3 linked regions of the Macaca mulatta genome follow. The main gene of each other region encodes a partner of the protein of the gene in region 2 in a complex. Links are inferred from orthologs where the notes say so. Each region holds a gene or a part of one and is shown on either strand. Other genes may lie near its edges.

Region 1 (4,279 bases), on a different chromosome or scaffold from region 2:
CAAGTCCTTCCACAATTTCCTAGGAATCACCTTTATAGGGATGTCATGTGTCACAATGCGGCTACTGCTTGACATAGATAACTGCCAAGAAAAGAATTAATTTAAAAATATTTTTATGTTGTTAATATTAAGCAACAACAAAACCACCCAAAGACCCGAGGACAAAAAAGTTGAAATGCCAAATCTAAGTGGAATGCTGTCAATTTATTCACTGAAAAGCCATTCGACCAATATTGATGGTGCCAATATTTACGGAACAGACTCTGGGTACTTTCAGGAACTGGGAAGTGTGGTAAATAAGACAAAAAGGTCCTCAATATTCCAGTGGAACAAACAGATCAATAAAAATGCAAACAAATGAAATTGCATGACATGCTCATTAGAGTCGTGAGAAAGCAAACCACAGTGACCAGAGTGAGTGTGGGGGAGTTTCCTTAGACTGACGAGGTGACATTTCAGATACCACCAAAAGCAGCAGCCGTGGGAAGACAGGAACAAGGGGACAGGGCTTCAGGCTGGGGAAACAGCACATGTAAAGCCATGAGGCAGAAAGAAGCAAGCCTGCTATGTTGATGCAACCAAGAGAAGGCCACTCTTTGGGCATAGGACACTCAGGGGGCTGCAGTTTCTAAACAGTTAAAAGGCAAACTATATTTACTTCTAGGGGCTTCTATGAGACTCGCAGAACAAAATATCTTGCACTTTTGGACATAAAATATTATACGTTACTATCTTGCTTTTCCTTAATAGGAAAAACATAACAAACTTATGTTGTGACATGAAATACCCTAATTAGCTCTAAGAACTGCCTGACTGCAGAGTCGAGAGTTATGAAGAAAAGTTGGGTCGGGCGCGGTGGTTCATGCCTATAATCGCAGCACTTTGGGAGGCCTTTGAGAGGACGAGGTAGGTGGATCACTTGAGGTCAGGAGTTCAAGACCAGCCTGGCCAACATGGTGAAACCCCAACTCTACTAAAAAAATACAAAAATTAGCCGGGTGTGGTGGTGGGCGCCTGTAATCCCAGCTGCTTGGGAGGCTGAGGCATGAAAATCACTTGAACCTGGGAGGCGGAGGTTGCAGTGAGCCGAGATCGCACCACTGCACTCCAGCCTGGGTGACAAGAGAGAGACTCAGTCTCGGAAAAAAAAAGGAAATACGAACCTCATTCCATGAGTAACAAGAGCAACTCTGGGTTGTATGTGTGCGCATGAGGTTGTGTATTTGTGTGTTTGGAGGACAGCTGTGCACTAAATTCATCTGGCAGTAGCATATAAAACATATGTGTACTGAACAATGAGGGGCCATTTAAAGGTTATCAGAGCAGATGAGGCAGGGTAGGAGTGGGGAGAAAATGTGTCAACGGTGAAAATGCATAGAAACCATGATTTCTAGACAAGGTGACAATACCACTACAAGAAATAGAGAGGCTGGAAGTTTTATGGCTTGGAAAAAGCAGCAGTCTAGCCGAATGCATAGGATAACAACACTATTTTAAAATGAGGAGGAACTGACTCTAATGCAAAATATAGTTATGGACCAGCTCTTTAAATTTAAATAAACCAAATAGCTTTCAACAATATTTATTGCTAAAGAGGCTAGGCTAACTATGTCTATTCCTTCGAAGCCAAGACTTCTGTGGGAAATTTCTGAAACCCTGACTCTCCTACTCACCAGCTCCACGGAGACTGTGAGGCAGGGAAAGTGTTTATTAGTCAGTTTGATTTTCAAGGCTCTGGCATTCTGGGCAGTTTTCAAGGCTCGAGATAAGTTTTCCGATGTTAGCTCTAAATAAATCTCATTGTTTTCTGCAGAGACACCCTCCATTTGAAATTCGTTGAAGAAGTTCTCCTAAGGGAAAAACATGGGGGATGAGGCAGGGCACTTGTGGTCTTTCCAGAGACAATCTGCAGATTGCAGGCCTCTCAGAAGTTTTTGCTCACCTGTTCCAGCTCACACCACATGCTCACTCCTCCATTAGCCAGCTTGTCACAAAGGATGAAGTTAAGCTTATCAGGGCTGATGCGGAGGGTGCAGGTTTTGGCAAGCTTGGCTATCATGTTACTGATTCCTAAAGCAGGGGTTAAAATAAGGAATCACTAAAACGCACATCATGTATCCTAGAGACCAACTTATTTTACAGAATTTCTTGTTCATCATGGTGCAACTTCTCGGTGGAAAAATAACCACTTACATTGGTATCACACTGGAAAGTATGATGTCACGCAATTCTCCCAACAAACCCGGGGAGATGTACAGCATACATCATCAGTGCTCAAATAAAAAAACAGGCACCTACTAGTCATTCATTCATTTAACACGAACTTATTGACTACTGGGTACCGCAGTACAGAGTTCAATGCAAGGTTAGGCACTGTCAGGGTGGAGGGACGAATGGGGCCTTGAAGGAATGTCAATGCCTGATAAAGCCGTCTGTGGGAGCAGTGGCCGCTTGCTTTTAAAGCCGCGTGATCGGAATCAAGTTTCAGAAACGTCCCTTGAAAGCCGTCTTCACCCCAAGTGCCCTACGATCCGACCCGCGCACTCCCGGCCCATCATCCCGCGGCCTCCACCAGCACCCCTATGCCTGCCCCATCCTCCCGCGGCCCCTCCCGCGGCTCATCTCGCTGCCCCTTCCACCGCCCATCCCCGCTCTGATCTTCCTCCGCGGTCCCCACCGCGCGCTCACTGCTTCCTTCCGTTCCTCCCTCGCTCCCCTCCGGCCTCCCTGCTCACGTGTGAAGTGGTTCAGACAGGCCCCGTCCACGATCTTAGCCCGAAACCTCATGGCCGCGCCTGCCGCAGCCGCGACGGCTTCTGTGGGTAACAGATAAGTGTCGCGCCCTGAGTGTCCCGGCCCGGAAACACGGCGGCGCGCACAGTGGTTCCGCCCGGCTCGGGCTACCCGGCTCTTGCCAGGATTGCCTCCGGGCCACGCCCCTGGGGTGGTGGGGCCAGGGGTCACGCCCCAGAGAAGGTGGGGTCACGGGTCAAGGATCACAGGTCACGCCCCGAGGAGGTGGGGTCCCAGTCTCCGGGTATGCCTCGGCGCTCCGGGGTAATGTGGGATCTGCTTTTAGTGAGGCGGTGGCTTCAAGCCCCAGATTTGGGGAGGTGGTTCTGAGAATTCACGTTTTGAAAGAATTTTGTGACACCTACTCCAAGTGCTATTTAAAAATATCCAAATAAAATTAGTCGTTTATAAAGGTTAAACAATATTATCTTAAATATACCTCTCTAAGGTAGAGCAGCTTTAAACCCTCTAGCCTCCGATGACGGTACCGGTACTTTGGTATTGAAGCATCTTGGTTGATTAAGGTTCTGAAAACTGTTTTAAATGACTTTTTAAAAAATTTAACATATTACTGGCTAGTTGGTAAAGACGGGATGCTTAAAGAACACTGACGTTAAGTGGTAATTCTGCAGTTTGCCTCAAGATGAACTTTATTACATCCGATAAAATTCTTATTAGCATAAATAATGTCATTAGGTTTTTTTAAAAGGAAAGAAATTTTAAAGGGGGAAATGAAGCAACAATTGTATCTAATTTGGTTTTTCAAAGACTAAAGATTATCTATGTTAATTGTTATTTTTAATGCCCTCTGCAAATAGGAGCCTAGACCGTTGTCTTTAACTTGACATATAGAATCAAGACAATGCAGATGATGATGATGATGATGATGATTTTGAGACGGAGTCTGGCTCTGTTACCCAGGCTGGAGTGCAATGGCGTGATCTCCGACCTCTGCAACCTCCACTTCCTGGGTTCAAGGGATTCTCCTGCCTCAGCTTCCCGAGTAGTTGGGATTACAGGCACAAGCTACCAGGCAAGGTTAATTTTTTTTTTTTTTAGACGGAGTCTCCCTCTATTGCCCAGGCTGGAGTGCAGTGGTGCGATCTCGGCTATAATCCCAAAGTGCTGGGATTATGGGCATGAGCCACTGTGCCAGGCCTAGATTATTTTTAAAGACACATGCACACGTTATGTTTATTGTGGCACTATTCACAATAGCAAAGACTTGGAACCATCCCAAATGTCCATCAATAACAGACTGGATAAAGACAAGTTGGACATATACACCATGGAATACTATACAGCCATATAAAAGGATGAGTTCATGCCCTTTGCAGGGACATGGATGAGGTTGGAAACCATCATTCTCAGCAAAATATCACAAGGACAGAAAACCAAACATTGCATGTTCTCACTCATACGTGGGAGTTGAACAATGAGAACACATGGACACAGGGAGGGGAACATCACACACTGGGGCCTGTTG
Region 2 (4,307 bases):
AGCAATTGAATTTCACCATTCTTAAAAATAATTCCCTTAACAAATAAAAAGATATACATTCTAAAGAAAATCATTTGGCAGCCGGGCACGGTGGCTTGTGCCTGTAATCCCAGCACTTCAGGAGTCTGAGGCGGGCAGATCACCTGAGGTCTGGAGTTTGAGACCAGCCTGGCTAACATGGTGAAATCTCATCTCTACTAAAAATACAAAAAAGTAGCCGGGCATGGTGGCACGTGCCTGTAATCCCAGCTACTTGGGAGGCTGAGGCAGGAGAAGCGCTTGAACCTGGGAGGCAGAGGTTGCAGTGAGCCGAGATTCTGCCATTGTACTCCAGCTTGGGCAACAAGTGAGAAACTCCGTCTCAAAAACACCAAAAAATCATTTATCAAAATAGACATAACTTATAAAATATAGCTTAAAAGAAACAAATTTTGAACACAGTAAACTAGGAGTCAGGAGAACTGGCTTTCGTTTTTCTCTGCCACTAACTAGCTGAGTAATTCTGGACAAGTTAGGGAAGAGAAGCAATTAAAACATTTCACAATGTTAAAGATATTAAAGACATGTCCAAAGTATTCTTTTGGCCAGTTCAAATTTAAAATCCCTCAAAGCCCTGTAAATTAAAAAAAGATGAATGTAAATACTTTTACAAATATGAAAGAACTATAAACATACTTGCAATTAACATTGTGAAATGTTAGAACCCATGACTGTGGCCACCGAAAAATGAATTGGCATTAGCTTTCTGAACAAATGTTTATATTCCAAATAACTTCCTGTATTTTTCTGACCACTGTATATAACACTTTTATGTCTTTATACTGATAATAGTTTACCTGGCATAGGACTTGATCCAAAAATAGACAAACAGTCTAAAAGGACAGTTAAATTAATTCGAAAAGTAACAGACTCTTCCTGAACTTTAAATTCCTGAAATATTCCAGCCTACGGAAAAAGTAAAAATGAAAATTGTTATGTAAAAGAATGAAAATATACAAGGTCCTAGATTTCACTTTATATGTTTAAAAAATACAATACTGTGCTAATCCCATGAGAATAATTTCTGATTAGCAATCAAAACATCTTAGAGACATCCTTTGAAGCATCCTTATATCCATTCCTGGATCTAAAACTATCCCTCTGGGACTCTCCCTTATCTCGTTTTTGTGCGTATCACTACTGCTAAGGTCACTTGGAAAACAGACGGATGACTTGATAATGCATGAGCAATATTAGTTACAACTTTTATTATTATTTTTTATTGATTCGGGGGTCTCACTACGGTTACTCAGGCTGGTCTTTAATGCCTGAGTTCAAGCGATCTTCGTGCCTCAGCCTCAGTCTCCTGAGCAGCTGGAAATACAGGTGTGAGCCACTATACCATGTTGCCGCACGAGGACGAGAACCATGTCTTATTTACCTCTCTATCCCTGAGGTCATGCTGTGCACTTACGTGTTAAAAAAAATGCTTAGTTGAATTTGCAATCCTATCTGAACCATACAAATATTACTTTGGAAGAACAAAAATTCTATTACAACCAGTAAAGGGAAAAAATACTCTTTAGTAACAGCAAGGTGGTAGTATCGCAGTGGTAAAAAGAGCAGATATTCTGGAAACAAATGTTCAGGGTTCTTATCCCAATTCAGCCACTTACCAGCTGTGGGACTGTTGGCAAATCACTTAAAATTGTGCCTCGTTTCCACATATATAAAACGGGAATAACAATAGAACCTGTCTTATAGGACTATTGTTAAAATTAAATAAGTTAAACACTAAGAAGACTGTAGCCTAGCCGATAGTCTAGTTTAATAAACTTTAGTCATTACTAACCATTATCTCTGTAAAACAAGATGGGAAAAGAATTTGTTACCGGGAGAGAAAAAAAAAATTCAAGTAATGACGTTTGTTCTCTAACGTAAGACTATTAAGTTATTTATCTATTATTTATTATGACTATTGACTATTAAGTTATTATGAGTATTAAGTTATTTATTATGTCTACTAAAACCTTCGGATTTCATTAAATTGCATTTAGAATATCTATGGCACAGGCTTAAAGGCGCCTACTTCCATACCTGAATAAAAGCATTTGCTTGCACACACTTTGCATTTTCCACTGTTACTTTGATACCATTTTTAGTTGCGAAACACGTGGCATGCTCTCGGAAATGAATAGCTTTCAAAATAGTGGAGAGATTCCTAACGTTGTCAAGGCTGGCCACAAGGCTGTACTGATCATCCTCATCTTGGATCTGCTGGGTCAGAAGGGGCATAGTCCACTGCGCATTCGGCCCGGAGGGAAATGCTCCTGGGGCCAACACCTGCTCCGCGAATCGCGAAACACCTGAAGGGACTGGACAATAAAACTCACATCAGTGCAGGCGAGGTCTGGCGAGCTCCACCTGCGCTGAGAGGTGGACGGGGGCTGGGCGGCTGAACTCAGCTGACCAGGCCGAACCCCACCTATGTCACTTAATTGTCTTTGTAATTTTGCGGGAAAATTAAGTTACTATTTCCTCGTCTCTGTAAGAGGACAATAACGTGAAAAGTTGTGAAGAATGAAGACACGCAACTGACACGGTATCTCCGCTTGGGGCCAGCTTCTCCCGGCCAAACAAACAGGAGCTATGAATCCGACCGCGGCACCAGCCTCGCTTCCAACAGAACAGGCGATGGAGGGGAGCGCCCAGAGTGTCCAGAAGATCCCCCAAGAGTCCCACACAAGCCCATTCACCAGCCCGCCCGCGGGACAGCATCGCTTATTAGTCTCGGGGTCCCCGAGTGCGGACACCCTACCTTTGCGGTGGGGTCTGGACGCCCGAGAGACCTTCCCAGGAAAGTCCCTGAGGAGGAGCTAGACAGCTCTGAGAAATCGCGTAGGAAGTGGAGCCGGTCCCGCCACTCTTCAGACCTGCCCTCCACTTCCGCCACCGTCACCACAGAGCTGAAGGAGGCCTAGAGAGCCGCGCGTGCAGCGCCACTGAGACCGGAAGGAGACACCGCAGACCTGGAGGACAACCGCGTAGCTGAGCGCTTAGAGCCACCGAACCATAGAGATCGGAAAGAGGAGCGAGAGGCAACGCCGGAAAACAGGCCAAGAGCGCAGGCAGTAAGGCAAGATGGCGGCAACCAAGAGGAAACGGCGTGGAGGCTTGGCAGTGCAGGCGAAGAAGCCAAAAAGAAACGAAAAAGATGCCGCGCCGCCAACTAAGCGGCACACCACCGCAGAGGAGGTGGAGGAAGAAGAGAGGGACCGGATCCCAGGCCCCGTTTGCAAGGTAGAAGGGGATGCCCCCGGGCTACACCGGCGGCGGCGGCTCTGTGCGCCTTTTCTTGGGTTACTTACTTGACTACAGCTCTGCTAATTTCAGAGTAGCCAGAGTGTTAACGGTAGGTCGATTTTAGCAATCCTCCCAGCCAGACTGGGCACCGAGTTTTCAGCTAATCCTTGTGCACGTGTCCGCCCTCCTGGAGGCGGCGGGTTTTAAAATCTTTACCCGGCCCACGGGAAAGCGACTTACAGGGTGCTCAGATCTAGCGTTTTGTCTTCGTAGTTGTTGAGTTGTTTTGTTTTGTTTTGTTTTTTAAATATTTTTGAAAAGTAGGGCTTTTCCTTGGCTATTTCTCGCTGTTGAGTATTTCTTCCAGTGATTAGTATGCCCATATACTGCCATAGTCAGCCACTCTCAGTCAGGGATCCTACAGTTTGTTAGGTGAGCCTTTAAAAAGTTGTTGCCCTTAGGACTGTGACTCTGATTTGTTAACCAGTTTTCAACTCAAGGGATAATGAAAAATAGGCTAGGTACTATGAGCTTTACTTGTATTCAACAGACATTGAATGTGCCATGCATTTGACCAAGTTAGGCATCCTTTGGGTTTGAGATTGCAAAGGTGACTAGCATGTGACCCCTTCCTCCTGAAATGTTGGAGTTTAGGAGGAAACTTAAGAATTCAAATAAGTTGATGGTTTTTATTCAAAAGAAGTGCACGTTAGTTGGAATTAGCTAGATTTCCTTCAACTGAGAACTCATCTTAAGCTAGACAGAATACTGTGAAGGCAAGGATTATCTTTGACATTAATTTCTGCGTCCTCCGCACTTAGCAGAGTAGTCTAGCACGCAGTAGGTGTTAAGTCAATGACCCCGTGTGGTGTGATGGCAAGCTCTAGGAAAGGAGTGTGAGCTCTGAGGAATAAAAGATAAGTGTAAATTCTAGCCCCGCTCTTTTCTGCGCTCTTTTCTGACCTGCAGATTGGGGCCGGGGAGGGGGGAGAGAATATTTACTTTTTATGAAAAATAAGCTGGGC
Region 3 (4,086 bases), on a different chromosome or scaffold from region 2:
GATCATTCCCTTGACAACCCCACCCCCACCTCTTGGCCAAAGTGATTATCTTCCAGGGCGCTTGGTCAGGGAATGGTGTCATTATTCCTTCAGCTATGCAGCCAAAAATCTTGACACTTCTATTTCCCATCCAACCCACCATCAAGCCCTGTCAACTTTACCTCTTAAACATGTTTTCGTAATGCCCCTTTTTCACGCTGTCTCCTTCTTTTTCTTCTCTCTCTCCCCGCCACCATTTTTCAAGCTCCAGCAGTTCTTGCCTGGAGTACTGCAATATCCAACTGTTCTGCCCTAATCCACTCTAGCAAACCCCGCTATAGACTGACCTTTTAAAATGCAGATCTGACCTGGGTTCACTTCTGCTTAAAGCTTATGATTGGCTTCCTTTAATTCTTGGATAAGCACAAAACTTCTCTGTATGGCTAAGGCCCCGCTTCCCCTGGCTCCAGCTTCAACTCACACCACACTCCATTCAGGTCAATTAGCTCAAACTCTTCAGATATTCCTTAGCCTTTGTACTCACTGTGCTTCCTCCTGCCATCCAGCCTTTGCACGCCTGATTCCCTCTGCTTAGCGCGGCTCCCTCCTTTCTTTGTAAAAGGCATCAGATCTCACACCAAGCTCTCATTAGAAAAGCCTTTCCTGTCCTACCTCTCAAGATCTTATTGTAAATACTCAAAGTATCATTAACCTCTCATGTTTCACTTTACAGCAATAATGCCACATTTGTTTGTTCGTTTTGAAGACGGTGTCTTCCTCTGTCACCCAGGCTGGAGTGCAGTGGTGTGATCACGGCTCACCATAGCCTCCACCCCTCGGCCTCAGGTCATCCTTCCACCTCAGCCTCCAGAGTAGCTGAGACTACAGGCATGCACCACCACGCGCGGCTAATTTTTAGTAGAGAAGTGGTTTCGCTATGTTGGCCAGGCTGGTCTCGAACTCGTGACCTCAAATGATCCACCCACCTCGGCCTCCTAAAGTGCTGGGATTACAGGCGTAAGCCACTATGCCCAGCCCACATTTGTTTATTTGATTCTTTTATTTTATTTTATTTTATTTTATTTTTTTAGAGACAGAGTCTCACTTTGTTGCCCAGGCTGGAGAGTGCAGCGGTGCAGTCTTGGCTCACTGCAACCTCCGCCTCCCAGGTTCCAGCAATTCTCCTGCCTCAGCCTCCCAAGTAACTGGGACTACAGGCATGTGCCGCCATGCCCGGCTAATTTTTTTTGTTATTAGTAGTAGAGATGGGGTTTCACCATGTTCGCCAGGTTGGTCTCGAACTCCTGACCTCAGGTGATCCGCCCGCCTCGGCCTCCCAGAGTGCTGGGATTACAGGCGTGAGCCACCGCGCCGGGACTATTTGATTCTTTTAAAATATCAGTGCCCCTCTTCCCCGATTGGACTGTGAGCCCGGGGGAAGGAAAGAACCTTGTCTGCCATTGTATCTTCAGGACCTGGCGGGACCTGGCACAGAGCAGGTGCTCAACTAGACTGGTTGACTAAGTAAATAAAGAAAGCACCACCGTCTACCATAGCCGAAGGCTTGGCTTTGGGAGGGGCCAAAGACAGGTCAGTACTTGAAGATTTCGCGCAGAGGTAGGGTTCGTGGGGCCGACATTTTTTTCAAGATGGAAGAAAGCTGAGATAATACACAGCCCTCAAAGAACCCTCAGTCTAATCGGGGGGAGCAGACGATCGTTCACTGTACGAAAACGGGGTACGATTTTCCCCAGGAAGGAAATCACCCGAAGCCGACCTTGGAAGAGGGGAGCAGAGCAGCCCGAGGGGAAGCGGGGGCGTGTCGCCCGGCGTGACTATGGCGGCAGGGAAAGCGGACCCAGGGACCCGGGCCTGTCGCGCCGCTTCCGCACGTCCCCAGACTGTCCCTCCGCTCGCCCACCCACGCGGCGGGGACCCCTCCGGCCCCTCCCAGGCCCCACGGCCACTTCTTCCCCCGCAAGCCGGCCCGCGGCCCGCCTTACCAGCCGGGGCCGGACTGGGCCGCAGCTCCTGTCAGACCGCACAGCCTTCGAGCCCGGAACGCCGAGACAAGGCCGGCGCCGATTGGCGACGTTCCGTCACGTGACCTTAACGCTCCGCCGGCGCCAATTTCAAACAGCGGAACAAACTGAAAGCTCCGGTGCCAGACCCCACCCCCGGCCCCGGCCCGGGACCCCCTCCCCTCCCGGGATCCCCCGGGGTTCCCACCCGGCCCGCACCGCCGGGGACCCGGCCGGTCCGGCGCGAGCCCCCGTCCGGGGGCCCTGGCTCGGCCCGCAGGTTGGAGGAGCCCGGAGCCCGCCTTCGGAGCCACGGCCCAACGGCGGCGGCGACTGCAGTCTGGAGGTGAGCGGGATACAGGAATGGAGTCCCGGGCCTGGCCTGGGCACAGGCGGGGAGCGAGGCCTCCGGGCGCGGAGGTCAGGGCGTCTGGCAGCAGGGCACGGGCCACGAGTGGAGGTTTGGGCCACACGGGAAGAATCTGAGCCCGGGTGCAAATGTTTTCTGCATCCAACCTCCTGGCCGGGGCCGTCTCATTACTTAAAGCGCCCCTTGGCCTTCCCTGGAAGTCTGACCTCTGCACGCTGCCCACGGCCTCGGGAGGGCTGGGGTGGCCTTTCTTAGGCCGGCTGCGGCTGAGATGAACACTGAGCACAATTGTACTACGTTGAGTCAAAGACCAACCTGCACACATACTCCCCTGCTCCCAGGCTCTCACCACTAGGCAGCACTGCCTCCGTCTTACCCATTTGCAGGGCCCTTCTCCTGGGTCCTGAGAATGTAGCAAGATTTCCCCGCTCAGGATGGAGATGGCTCAGAGGACCACTCTGGAAGTTTCCCGGGGAAGAAAGTGTTGGCAATAATAATATCAGGCTGGTCAGGAAGTAGAAGAAAAAATTAAGACCTAGATATCCTGTGGAAAAATAGGAATAATATCTACTGATCGATGCGGGGAGAGAGGGAAGCCTGGAAAGATCTGAAGTGAAAGTAAAACTGAGATTTGGAGGTAGAGGTGTGGCGGGCCTGTGAACTCTGCAGATGACAAATGTCAAAAAATTACAGTTGCTTTTCAGGGAGAGAATAAGTGTCCTAAAAAAGAGACAGCCAATTCCTCTGTCTCCCAAAGTTCCATGAAATAGAATTATACAATTTTGCTTAATGGTAGAGTATTCCATGTATCTATTAAAATCAACAAAAGGCTGGGTGCAGTGGCTCACGCCTGTAATCCCAGCACTTTGGGTGGCCGAGGCGGGTGGATCATCTGAGGAGTTCAAGACCAGCCTGGTAAACATGGTGAAACCCTGTTTCTACTAAAAATAAATAAATAGATAAAAATTAGCCCGGCGTGGTGGTGGCGCCTGTAATTGCAGCTACTCGGGAGGCTGAGGCAGAAGAATCGCTTCAACCCCGGAGGCAGAGGTTGCAGTGAGTTGAGATCGCGCCATTGCTCTTGCCTGGGTGACAAGAGCGAAACTTCCTCTCAAAAAAAAAAAAAAAAAAAAAAAAAAAATCAACAAAAGACTTAAAAAGAAAAAAAAAGACTATGCTGTTAGCATTTCAGAACCACCTTAGTGTATTGATGATAGCTCATTCTGGTAGTAAGGAGACAGGGGTTATAGTCTTATTTCTGGAAAAGAAATTAATAAAGTGGCATGCTTAGAAAGTTAAAATATGTATAACCACATGCAAGTACTAAAATGCCACTGTATAAATACAGTACGAATTGTAAAAGAACACATTCTTTTTAAATTATAGCAAGTATAATAGCCTGTGAAATAAATGTCACCCTCTAAAGTTGTTCATTGAACAAGCTGCACAGCTTTACATGGGCCTTCAATAGAGGTTTCCATTTTATGTGAGGTTTTGTAAACTGGGAGATGATTTTTCCAGTAGTGTGGCAATAGTACAATCTGCCTTTCTTCCCTGATTCTGTGTGCACTGGTCCTATTTACAAAGTAACATAAAAGTTAAAAGGCTTGGCCAGGTGACTTGCGGTGACTCATGCCTGTAATCCCAGCACTTTGGGAGGCCAAGCCAGGTGGATCACCTGAGTTCAAGACCAGCCTGAGCAACATGATGAAACCC

The links.
Region 1: the proteins of RAD1 (region 2) and HUS1 are in contact, whole or in part, in a crystal structure (PDB 8GNN), measured with the Homo sapiens proteins. The link is inferred for Macaca mulatta from reciprocal best matches to the Homo sapiens genes RAD1 and HUS1. Residues at the interface, in NP_002844.1 of Homo sapiens: Asn85, Val88, Asp91, Cys92, Ser94, Ile95, Phe96, Gly97, Ser98, Gly127, Val128, Val129, Thr130, Val131, Cys132, Lys133, Ile134, Asn135, Gln137; in NP_004498.1 of Homo sapiens: Thr165, Ser168, Val169, Lys172, Met173, Asn175, Ile176, Glu197, Leu198, Val199, Cys200, Val201, Thr202, Thr203, His204, Phe205, Lys206.
Region 3: the proteins of RAD1 (region 2) and RHNO1 are in contact, whole or in part, in a crystal structure (PDB 6J8Y), measured with the Homo sapiens proteins. The link is inferred for Macaca mulatta from reciprocal best matches to the Homo sapiens genes RAD1 and RHNO1. Residues at the interface, in NP_002844.1 of Homo sapiens: Asn47, Gly48, Ile49, Lys50, Phe64, Ile65, Gln66, Ser149, Lys155, Ile157, Glu211, Ala212, Lys240, Val241, Ser242, Arg244, Gln254, Tyr255, Met256, Phe266, Glu268; in NP_001239428.1 of Homo sapiens: Ser55, Trp56, Val57, Ser58, Pro59, Asp60, Phe61, Asp62, Thr63.

The regions. Positions count from the first base shown.
Region 1 is NC_133408.1:80,603,415-80,607,693, reverse strand, and holds the start of HUS1 (checkpoint protein HUS1), read right to left. Parts: upstream 2,825-4,279; 5' UTR 2,788-2,824; coding exon 2,736-2,787; intron 2,071-2,735; coding exon 1,943-2,070; intron 1,851-1,942; coding exon 1,674-1,850; intron 82-1,673; coding exon 1-81. UniProt on the Homo sapiens protein: Component of the 9-1-1 cell-cycle checkpoint response complex that plays a major role in DNA repair. The 9-1-1 complex is recruited to DNA lesion upon damage by the RAD17-replication factor C (RFC) clamp loader complex.
Region 2 is NC_133411.1:35,974,023-35,978,329, forward strand, and holds the start of RAD1 (cell cycle checkpoint protein RAD1), read right to left. Parts: upstream 2,902-4,307; 5' UTR 2,798-2,901; intron 2,355-2,797; 5' UTR 2,275-2,354; coding exon 2,077-2,274; intron 946-2,076; coding exon 837-945; intron 1-836. UniProt on the Homo sapiens protein: Component of the 9-1-1 cell-cycle checkpoint response complex that plays a major role in DNA repair. The 9-1-1 complex is recruited to DNA lesion upon damage by the RAD17-replication factor C (RFC) clamp loader complex.
Region 3 is NC_133416.1:3,773,116-3,777,201, reverse strand, and holds the start of RHNO1 (RAD9, HUS1, RAD1-interacting nuclear orphan protein 1), read right to left. Parts: upstream 2,882-4,086; 5' UTR 2,747-2,881; intron 2,347-2,746; exon of another isoform or gene 1,983-2,346; intron 1-1,982. UniProt on the Homo sapiens protein: Involved in microhomology-mediated end-joining (MMEJ) DNA repair by promoting recruitment of polymerase theta (POLQ) to DNA damage sites during mitosis.